Linked DNA regions of Sus scrofa. The protein of the gene in region 2 purifies or fractionates together with the protein of the main gene of each other region. This does not show direct contact. Links are inferred from orthologs where the notes say so. Each region holds a gene or a part of one and is shown on either strand. Other genes may lie near its edges. The genes, in order: RRP1B, RPL4 and SERBP1.

The links.
Region 1: the proteins of RPL4 (region 2) and RRP1B purify together in Homo sapiens (affinity purification with mass spectrometry; 3 studies listed by BioGRID and IntAct, with this or other methods). This does not show direct contact. The link is inferred for Sus scrofa from reciprocal best matches to the Homo sapiens genes RPL4 and RRP1B.
Region 3: the proteins of RPL4 (region 2) and SERBP1 purify together in Homo sapiens (affinity purification with mass spectrometry; 3 studies listed by BioGRID and IntAct, with this or other methods). This does not show direct contact. The link is inferred for Sus scrofa from reciprocal best matches to the Homo sapiens genes RPL4 and SERBP1.

Annotation. Positions count from the first base shown.
Region 1 is NC_010455.5:206,628,122-206,631,873, reverse strand, and holds the start of RRP1B (ribosomal RNA processing protein 1 homolog B), read right to left. Parts: upstream 2,699-3,752; 5' UTR 2,626-2,698; coding exon 2,496-2,625; intron 1-2,495. UniProt on the Homo sapiens protein: Positively regulates DNA damage-induced apoptosis by acting as a transcriptional coactivator of proapoptotic target genes of the transcriptional activator E2F1.
Region 2 is NC_010443.5:164,475,649-164,478,797, forward strand, and holds the end of RPL4 (60S ribosomal protein L4), read right to left. Parts: intron 3,080-3,149; coding exon 2,941-3,079; intron 2,542-2,940; coding exon 2,417-2,541; intron 2,149-2,416; coding exon 2,019-2,148; intron 1,775-2,018; coding exon 1,618-1,774; intron 1,346-1,617; coding exon 1,262-1,345; intron 1,164-1,261; coding exon 1,043-1,163; intron 956-1,042; coding exon 710-955; 3' UTR 621-709; downstream 1-620.
Region 3 is NC_010448.4:145,189,691-145,193,342, reverse strand, and holds part of SERBP1 (plasminogen activator inhibitor 1 RNA-binding protein), read right to left. Parts: intron 2,720-3,652; coding exon 2,569-2,719; intron 1,966-2,568; coding exon 1,825-1,965; intron 1,713-1,824; coding exon 1,623-1,712; intron 1,029-1,622; coding exon 909-1,028; intron 1-908. UniProt on the Homo sapiens protein: Ribosome-binding protein that promotes ribosome hibernation, a process during which ribosomes are stabilized in an inactive state and preserved from proteasomal degradation.

The DNA.
Region 1 (3,752 bases), on a different chromosome or scaffold from region 2:
ACCCACTGAGCGCGAGGCCACAGATTGACCCCAAGTCCTCATGGATGCTACTCAGATTCGCTTCCGCTGAGCCATGACAGGAACTCCAATTTGTTTCTAAAAATCAAAGCTATCTATGTTGCTAAAAGACAGTAAGACTGCCATTTCGCACTGCCTTTACTGTGCCTAAAACAAAATACAAAAACTTAAGCCTGTTAGTGAGACTCAGAGGTCAGGCCAAGTTACCTCCACACCTGTTTCTACTCTGATGGAGCACAGCTGTGGCACGGATCTTGTTTATTTCGTCCCGTCATCACCGTCAACGAAACCTTATTTAGTTTTGGTTGTGCCCGCGGCACTTGGAGGTTCACTGGCCAGGGCCCGAACCCAACCGCAGCTGTGGCGAGAGCCACAGCAGCGACAACGCTGGATCCTTAACCCGCTGAGCTGCGAGGGAGCTCCTACGACATGCACTTTGCGTTTACCTTCCTCGAGGCCCACTCGGCTCCCCAGACTGCGGATGTGGTGTCTAACAGGAAGCAGCTTGAGGTGTGATGGGCGCTCGCCAGGCAGGACCCTGGGCACCGCTGCATGCCCTGGCCTCCTGCCCCCGCAGCACCTCAGCACTTCAGAGCCAGAGCCTGTTCCCCACAGAGCTTTGAGCACCGGGTCCTGTCCGGCTGCCTCAGCCCTGTGCTTCTGCATCTGGTTCCTGTTCTTGTGCCCTGGCAGCCCTGGGACCTCGGGATGTGCTCCCGCTTCCAGCTAAGGAAGCAGACAGAGGCTTACGGCATTTTGGGGGAAGAACGACACATCAGCAGATAAGCTAAGTGCCACAATGGGGACATATCAGACACTTCAGACTTGTAGAGAAGTGGGGGGAGAGGACAGGGAAGGCATTTCAGAAAAGCGATACTGGACTGACTGCTGTGAGTGGATCAAGTGGGCGGGGGAGCTTTTCAGAGTGAACAGAGGCGAAAGTGGGAGAGTGTGGAGGAATGGTGTACGGTAGCCCAGGACCCAGTGTGAAGCAGCCGCACAGGGGCTGAGGTGGGGGACAGAGGAGGACATGTCACCACCAGCAAGGCCAGAACTTCAGGAAGGTGGTGATACAGTTGTTTCAGGAAGATGCGCCAGGCTGTTTCATGGAGCGTGGGTTTAAGGGGGCACACATGCAGGTGTTAGATCAGTTAGGAGGTAAGCGTGTCAAAGCCTCGATGAGATGGAGGAGCCTTCAGTAAGGGCAGAGAAATTTAGGAGATGCGACCAAAGGACACTAGATGCAGGGCTGGGGGACAAAAAGAGGAAGAGGCGTCCAGGACCATATACCCTGCGTCCAACTGGAGTCTGAGTGGAGGATGGGAACTAGTGCCCAAAATAAAAGAGCAGAAGAAGATGAGCCTCTGTGGGGCATTCTGAAGCCTGAGGACATCCAGGTGGAGGTGCCAGGTGGGAAGGGCATATCTGAGCTGCAAGCAGCAAAGGTCTGGGTTAGAAAGTTCGGTTTAGGAACACACAACATTTATGGAATAAGAGGAAATCAAGTCTGTCAGGAAGACCCTAACAGATTTGAAGTCAGGAAGTCTGGCTTCGTTCCTCTTCCTAGGACTTCCCAGGAGAGTTTATCTTCTTTTTCCCAGAAGCCTTCAAAAGAAGGCTAACTGAGCGATCAGCACAGGGGGAGACATCCATTCTTTAAAACAGACTCAATGTATTAACACTAGCAGCAAATCGGACTTTTCCTCAGTGCAATAAAAAACTTCACCGCACTGTAATCCATGCCTTCAAAGGTTTACACCGGACCGGGTAAATACGATTCCTCAATGGCACCCCGCTGCAGTTAAAACCCAAACTGAAGAGCCCGCTGTGACCTGGCCACTGCCTACTTTCCCAACTCGCGTCCTAACACCCTCCCTCTCTCTCACTTACCGCTCTTCCAGCTCCTCATTCGTGCCCCGGCTCAGATCTGGAGAACATCACCCCGAGAGGCCTCCCTGCAACAGTCTTTGGAGAGGAGCTTCCCCGTTCCTCGGTTTTCATTTCCTTTACTCCACTTACACGAGTTCCGTTTCAGTTATCTATTCCCCCCCCCCCCCGCCAGATTTCCCGGGATAAATTCCTCGGGGGTAGGGATTCGGACTTCTCCGTCCTGGTCAACTGAAGGCGTGACTCAAGGAAGAGCGCACCAGAATCAAACAGGTGAGTGCACTGATCCCACGTGCAAGCTCTGGGAGGGCAGACTGGGACGGTTCTCGGCTTTCCGGCTCACCGGGACCCTCAGCGGACCACCTAACCCCCTCCGCCGCCGCCGCTCAACCGGAGAACCGGTGGAGACCCCGCAGGAAGTGGACACAGAGAAGCACACGGCTGTGCCGCACGCTCTCCCCGCTCCGCCCGCGGCTCCCCGGGCCCGCCCCCCACTCCCGCCAGGACCCCCCCCCCACCGCGGCTCCCTCCCCTCACCCCCGCTCCCCCACCCCGGCCGCCATGTGCGCGGCGGACCGCAGGGAGCCCACCTGTCTCCCTCTGTGTCTTCACGCTGATGTACTGGCGCAGCTTCTTCACCGCCCGGTCTCGGATGCCCTTCTCGTGGGACGCCAGCCGTTGAGCGAACTGGATCTCGGCCGGCTGCATGGCGGGGGCCATCGCGCCCGTTGGAGCATCCCCGGCCGCAGCCCGCCGCCGCCGAGCGCCCGCCGCCGTGCCGCGACTGCGCAGAAGGCGCCGGCGCGCGGGCTGATGACGTCACAAAGGCGCCGCTCGCCGCTCGCAGAGCGTTCCGCGAGCTGCGGGCCGGGCCCCGGCGGAGCGACGCTCCTCCGGTGCGCGTCGCGCCTCTCCGCCGCCGCCGCTGCCTCTCGGTCGCCAAGGCTCGGGCCGTTGAGGGCGAGGTTAGCCAGCGCTGGGTGTAGGCCGGGAAGAGACGGAGGGCCAGTTTTGCGTGGTCTGGAATCTTGCCCACTTCACAAAATCTCCATCCAACCGACCCGCAGCTGTTCCCGGGAGATACACGGCACCGGGTTTTTACGTTGGCCTCCTCGGGCCGCGGTGGGAACGGGGTTCTGGCGGGAGGTTGCGGGCAGCCCGCTGGAGGGGCGCCCGGAGCCGGGGCGAGGACTGGGTGCGTGTGCTGGTGCGTGCACCCGCGGGCCTGGAGAGCGCGTACTCCGGGCACTCGGACAGTGTCGGCTTGTGTCCGGCTTTGGACAGAAGTCCTAGTTGTGCGATAATCGGTACCTTTTTTTTTCTTTGGTGTTTTTGTATTTTTCCAGGGTCGCACCCACGGCATATGGAGGTTCGCCGGCTAGGGGTTTAATGGGAGCTATGGCCGCCGGCCTACACCACAGTCATGGCAACTCGGGGTCGAGCTGCGTCTTGGACCCACACCACAGCTCACGGCCACGCCAGATCCTTAACCCACTGGGCGAGGCCAGGGATCGAACCTGCAACCTCATGGTTCCTAGTCAGATTCGTTAACCACCGAGCCACCACGGGAACTCCCGTAACCGGTACCTTTGAACCCAGAGCTTGCACCATATGTTACGAACTCAGTGGGCATATGGGGGCTAGTGAATGGACCAAACGATGTCTCCCAGTCCATGGGGTCGTCTCAGTTCCTTAACCTGCTGGCCGGACTGAGGCTCCCTTATCTGGGGCAGACACCGCCGCCGCCGCCGGCGGAGCCTGTTGTCAGAAAGCTTCGACCTTCGCGAATGGAGTTTGGAGCTGAGCGCGCGAGAGGGGCCGCCGGCGGCTGCTTCGCGTGAACGCAT
Region 2 (3,149 bases):
ATTTTTATTATGGAGCTGACATCTCTTAGCTGCAAATGGGAGGATACCTCAAGCTATGAATCTTGAGAAATGTCAGAAGGAACAAAACCAGATGCAAAACAAGACACTACCATATTTAAACAGGGAAGGACAGGTTAGTTCTAAGTTGGTAATGCATAAACAGCTTTGGAAAAATGTTAGGGGCCATTCTTTGCAAAAGCATGTTTGGTCAACATACTCACCCCCCTGTAAAGAGTAAATGTTCCCAGCACTTTTCATACCAATGTTTCAAATATTAAAGAGGGTGGCAGGCTTTCCTTTGTCAATTGTATCCTATCACACTATTGCTATACTTAAGAACAAGAAAAAAAAGTATTCTGATTTTGCCCTCTTGTGGTTACAAAAAATGTCAATCCTTTCTGGAACTTTATCCATTTTCCAGAAACCTAATCGTTTGTCTAATCTGAGATTTCTCACAAAATTAATTTTTATTTGGATATATGGAGCATGCTTCTTCTCATTCAACTTCAAGGACTCAGAAATCCAGGGCTCCGTTTTACACCAGACAAAATGGCTTGAATTATGGAGGAAAAAAGTGTCAGTAAAAAAATTCTAACCAAGATTCACACAACACAGGTAAGTCATGTTTCACACTGCTGCTTTGATCAGGTCTTTATTCAAAATTAGCTGTCCAAGTGATTTGACTTTTATGGACTAAACAAATTTAAGTTTATGCAACAGCCTTCTTTTCTTCTGTGGTGGGCTTCTTTTCTGCAGGCTTCTTTTCAGCTGCTGGTTTCTTGGTCACTACAGCCTTTTTCCCCACCAAAGGCTTCTTCTGCTTTTTAACGCCAACAGCCTTCTTGCCAATAGCCTTCTTTCCTTTCTTCTCTACCACGGGCTTCTTGTCTGGAACCCCCTTCTCACCTGATTTGGCTTTCAGTGCTGCTGCCGCCTTATCCATCCGGATTTTGTGCTGCAACAAATTAGGAGAAAATCTAAGAATCACATCTTCCAATTTTCACAACTTAACATATCAAGAAAACTCAAAATTATCGCTTACATTCCTGGCCTGGCGAAGAATGGTGTTTCGGCGCATTGTCTTTGCATACGGGTTTAGCTTCAACATGATTCTCAGGTTTTTCAGTGGATTCTTCTTCAGAACTCTACGATGAATCTTCTTGCTATAAAACGGTAGGTACTATGTTAATATTTACATTATCTACGTTTATTAAATAACCAATAAATAGGGCAGGAATTAGTGTGTGTATCACAACTTTACCGTGGTGCGCGGAGGGCTCTTTGGATCTCTGGGCTTTTCAAGATTCTGCTAAGGTCTGTATTGAGCATCTTATGCATGGGAAGGCTGAAAGAAAAGAGAAAATGTTTACAATAGTCTCAATTCAGATTTCTCAGGTTAGAGACCCTCAACAAAAGACTTTTAACCATTTAAGCTCCTCAGAATCCAATCAGAATTTCCACTATACTACAATTTCTCAGACTATTTCACCATTTCAGTACATTGCATCTTTACACAAGGGGAATTAAGGCAACAACCCATATTCAGAAAACATGCAACCCAACTTCAACAACATCCACAGCATAAACATTTGTGTTATGTATACAAATTATACTCACTTGTAGTTACTCTTGAGGGTAGCAGCTTTACGCCAAGTGCCATAGAGCTCATCTAACTTGCGGAAAGCACTTTCAGTCCAAATGCAGAAACGTCCCACATGCCCACCAGGAGCAAGTTTCAAAATGTTCAGTTTGCTTACGTTAAGCAGAGTAATTCCTTTAAAGAAAAAAAGAATGAGGGAGCCTGTATTACAACAGAAGCCCCCCCCCAAATCATCTTTATAGCACCTGAGAAGTATTTTAATTATGAATTTCAACCATAAATGGTAAACTCATTCAGCCAAGATTCAGAAGTTCCACAAAATCATGTGTTTCAGAAACACGGACCATAAAGTGGAATCTCATCATAATAAAAGCTTGAATAGTATGGCTAATTAAAACATAAATAGTACAAGATTTACCAGGGATGTTTCTGAAGGCTTTGATGATACCATTGTCCTCATTATAGATGATGCAGGGTCCCCTGCGCTGGATTCGGCGACGGTTTCTCATTTTGCCTTTACCAGCTCTCATTCGCTGAGAGGCATAAACCTAACAAAGTGGGGTGTGGTATATTGAGATATGATCCTTGCAACAGATCTTCATAATTTAAAAAACTCCATTTTACAGTTGATGAAATTTAAGGCATGAATAGCTTGCCTAACATTAACACATAGCAACAAACGGCACTCAGGATTCAAATTCAGATGTTTCAGGATTCTACACTCTCATATCCACTAAGGTTTAGTTATACTGTCCCTCCAATAATCTTTTGAAATTTAAAATCTGACAAATTTGTGTGAAGGACTATAAAACCTACCTTCTTGATATCATTCCAGGCCTTAAGCTTCTTCAGAAGCAGAACAGCCTCCTTGGTTTTTTTGTAGCTTTCAACTTTATCTTCAACCACCAAAGGAAGTTCAGGAACTTCCTCAATCCGATGACCTGACAAAGCCAATTAACGCAGACGTGGTTACCCCAATTCCTTTGATAAGTTGCATCAAACTCACAAAATCAAAATGGTATACAATCTGCCAAATCAGAATTCTCACAAATATCATGTTTTTCAGAAACACGGACCAATGAAGTGGAATCTCATCATTTTGACAGTTGTATCAATATACCAAATCACTGTATTTGAATTACTCCCCTAGGTACAAAGTATTCATTAATGACTGAGTTTTTAGACTGAAGTGGTCATAACTAGTATTTAGCAGAGGGAAATTTAGCCAGGCCCTCTAAGATGAAGAGAATTTATACAAGGTATCAACACCAATGAAAACTTTCAGGTGAAGGAAAAAAGGAGCATTTCATACAACTCATAGAAAATAAAATATCACAAACCTTTAGACATGACCAGCGCTGGTAAGGCTGAGGCAGCCAGTGCAGAGCAGATGGCATATCGCTTCTGTGTTGTGTTCACTCTGCGATGCCAACGTCGCCAGGTCTTGGTTGGCGCAAACATGCGGCCCCCACGACACATCTATGTTCCCAGTTAAGAATTACATTTCTCAAATTTTAGCAATTAAGAACAGGTTATGCCTTGCTCAGTA
Region 3 (3,652 bases), on a different chromosome or scaffold from region 2:
TTGAGAAAGCTAGCGAACTGGAGTACCTGCTATGGCACAGTGGGTTAAGAATCTGAATGCAGCAGCTCAGGTTAGATTCCTGGCCAAGTGCAGAGGGTTAAAGGATCCAGCACTGCTGCAGCTGCTATGGCTCAGATTGAACCACTGGCCTGGGAACGTCCATATGTGGTGGGTGCGGCCATTAAAAAAAATAAGAATAATAAAGAACGCTAGTGAACTGATAACATATTCTTCTGGCCCCTGCTCTCCTCGAACATGTTAAAACAAGCCAATATTATGTTCCAAAATCTATGTTGATGGGAAAAAAACCCTCAAAGAGATGGAGGAGCTAATTTTACAATGATCACATCTTCTAGTAATAAACTGTCTCAGAATAAAATCTGTATAGTTACAGAGTCCAAAGTACTTTAAACTAAGTACTTCCAAATACTTTAAGTTCTCATATATTTCAACCACTTGGTCTAATTGTTAGAAACCCCCATTTCAGCTTCTAGTTCCCCCTATTCAATGCCTCTGAACAGCTGGCACTAGAAATTATCCATTATAACTTCTCTATCAAGTATGTAAAATGCATGACATAGTATTTCTATTTTCCATTCTCCAGTTAAAACAGCTAATTTCTGTGCTTAGGGCTAACAGATTTTACTAAAATACCTATTTTCCTTATCTGTTTAAGATGGCAATGGTAATTTCAAATAGAAATAACCACTTCTATTTGTCAAACGATTAGAGCCCAACACATTCATGGGTAAAGCATTCCTCTAACCACTATTTGAGAGAATGGAGTACAATTAAGTCTCTCCTGTTAAGACGCAATAAATAATAGGATTAAGCCTAAAGGTTGTTTTCTTAGTAAAGCCCAATATTTCAATGCTGGAACATTACCACTACACACAAAAATCACTTACTTATTTTCTGTGTCCGCAACGGGATGTTCTTCACCTTCAGGTGTTTCCTCAGTCACATTTGATTGCTCCAAGTCACTGCAATTATAAGATATTTGTTTCTGAATGTATTTTGGGGACTCTCTAGGGAAAGAAAGAAAAGAAAAAGGCAACTAGGTCCATTTACATGTAGCCGAAAGGTTCTTTATACAGAATATTTTTAAAATCTCACATTCCCAAAGCTTTTTCTTAAAAAATTTACTCCCCAGTAGACCACTAAGAAAAAAATACTAAAATGTGTACTGATCCAAGTTTATAGTTCAAGTACTTTACTCAAAAATTAGTGCAAGAGAGCAATTAGTTCTAAAATAAGGCCTCACTGGCTTATCAAATTCATAATGACCAAGAAGATTAACAGCTAGAATAAGAATTATTAAATAAGAAACACACAACATCAAAATACCCAATAACGTCAATATAGGATTTAAATAAAAGCTATATATCCATACAAAAAATTAATATCACATATTTTTGAAACACAGAAGAATGGTCATTGAATACATTATAACCCAAACATATCCACCAAGGCATTCATTATCTTGTAAGGAAGTAGCTCTGAGATAAGAACACCCATTCCTTCCCAAGGACAAGTGAAAATTTAGTAGAATTATGGGCAAATCTCTAACAGGGTATAAGACCAATTTTACTTAAATTATTAAAAAAAAAAAAAATACCAACGTTAATTCATCTTTGACAGTTCCCCAGTTGTGAGATCCGCTACCTCCACGTTTGTCCTCATGCTTCAGGCCACTGTAATGTGAAAAAGAACTAACAAAACTGAGTTAACATAATACTCTTTAGTTCTAGAAATTCAAATTTTGTTTTATTAAAGAAGTATACTCAAATATAAAAATATAATAAAAACCAATAAAAGACTTACGATCTATCACTTCCACTATGCCTATCAAATTCACGTTTGCCACGAGAATCAAAACCATCTCCCCGGCCCATTCCACGTCCACGGCCTCCTCGACCTCTTCCAAGACCACCACGGCCTCGGATAGGCCGGTCAATAATCGGTCTACAACAAATAAAAAATATAACATAATACTTTTCCAGGTTTTGGAAAAAAGATTAAGGAAAATTCAAAGGCTCAAAAAGGCAAGAATATATTTACTGGCTCATATCCAACTGTTGAACACATGTTTTAGAAAGTTCAAAACAGTCTATTCTAAATACATAAAGGAAATCAATCAGAACTAGGAAACTCCCCAAAGTAAAAAAAAAAAAAAAAAAAAAAAATTATTTTGACATCCTCTTAGACTTTACTACTAAAGAATATATTTTTCTTTGTTACTCATTATGCTCTAGTAAAACTGCTATTCATCATATACTTAAACACTTCTAACCTGTATAAAACAAATAATCTATTCTGGTATAAACAATTACCCAAAAGGACTTTCCTTTTAACTCAACATCTGGGGATAGCAAGGAAAAGAAATTGTCCATCAATTCAACTGAAGTGTCCTCATTACAAGAAATCTAAGTGTGAATACTAAAAACTGTTACTGATAAAATTAACCAGCCACACTGTTTCCTGGCAACTATGCTCAATTTATAGTTTTGTGTTAAGATGTGACTCTATAAACTGACAAAACATAAAGAGATTAAAAAACAATCTTGCCTATCAACTGAAAATTCTCCTCCTTCACCCTTTTCTTCAAGTGGCTTTTCAAATCGTCTTTCACGAGGTGGTCGCCTTTCTGGTCTCCTATCAATTATCTTCCCTTCACCCTGAAGTTGTTGATCAGGTCTTCTTCCAACACGTCTTATTCCTAAATTAAAAAAAAAAAAAAAAAAAAAACACACACAAAAATCCATATAAGCAAATTATTTTTGCAGCACAAAAAATTTAGACCTAGACTGCTAAAAGAAAAATTGCTACTCCAATTACCAACTGCTACTCCAAGTCCAGTGCTAGTCTAGCTAGAACTTCCTGTTGAAAAAGACTGAAAGTGGGCATCTGAGGTGTAACAAAGTACTTTAGAAAAATTCCTAAAGACAATATACTTGTTTTAAACTTCCATTTAGTTTGCCAAATCATTTTCTCCTAAACTATTCTCTGTAACTGCCTTGGAAATTATCTGAACAGCCATTACTTCCCTTGCTTTTCAAGATACTAGTCTCAATTTAAAATTCTAAACTTATTTAAGGCGAGTGACACATTTTGGTTTTAAAGATATCAAATAGCCATTCATAAATAATCAAGCAAATTAATGCCATCACCAGATAAAGACATCCCCCTCACCCCCACCACAGTTAAAGCCATATTATTTTCTATAACCTGGGGGGGGGGGGAACAGCTGAATAAAAAGACTGATAATTCTATGAAATTATAAAACTGAAAGGAAAACAAATGACAACAGTTATTTTATTATTATGGGGAGGTTTTTTTAGTTTGCCTTTACAAGTATCTTTGTATCTAAAGAATCTTTAAAAACCACACACGCGGAGCCGTTTTAAGCAATAGTTAAGAAACAACAGAAACTAAATGATGAATTCCCCTTATTTTTTTCCCATTAGTGTCAGAGGCCAAGAAGGCAACCAATATGCACTACTGGTGGCCTCAAGGATAAGAAGTAGATTGATGGTTAAATTCATGACGGTAAAATTTTAGGAATGCTCTAATTCCCAAACCACGGATTTCTGACAAAATCAAAAAGCACCTCAGGAATTGGCTTCATAACAAGAAATTAAACTGGCTCATT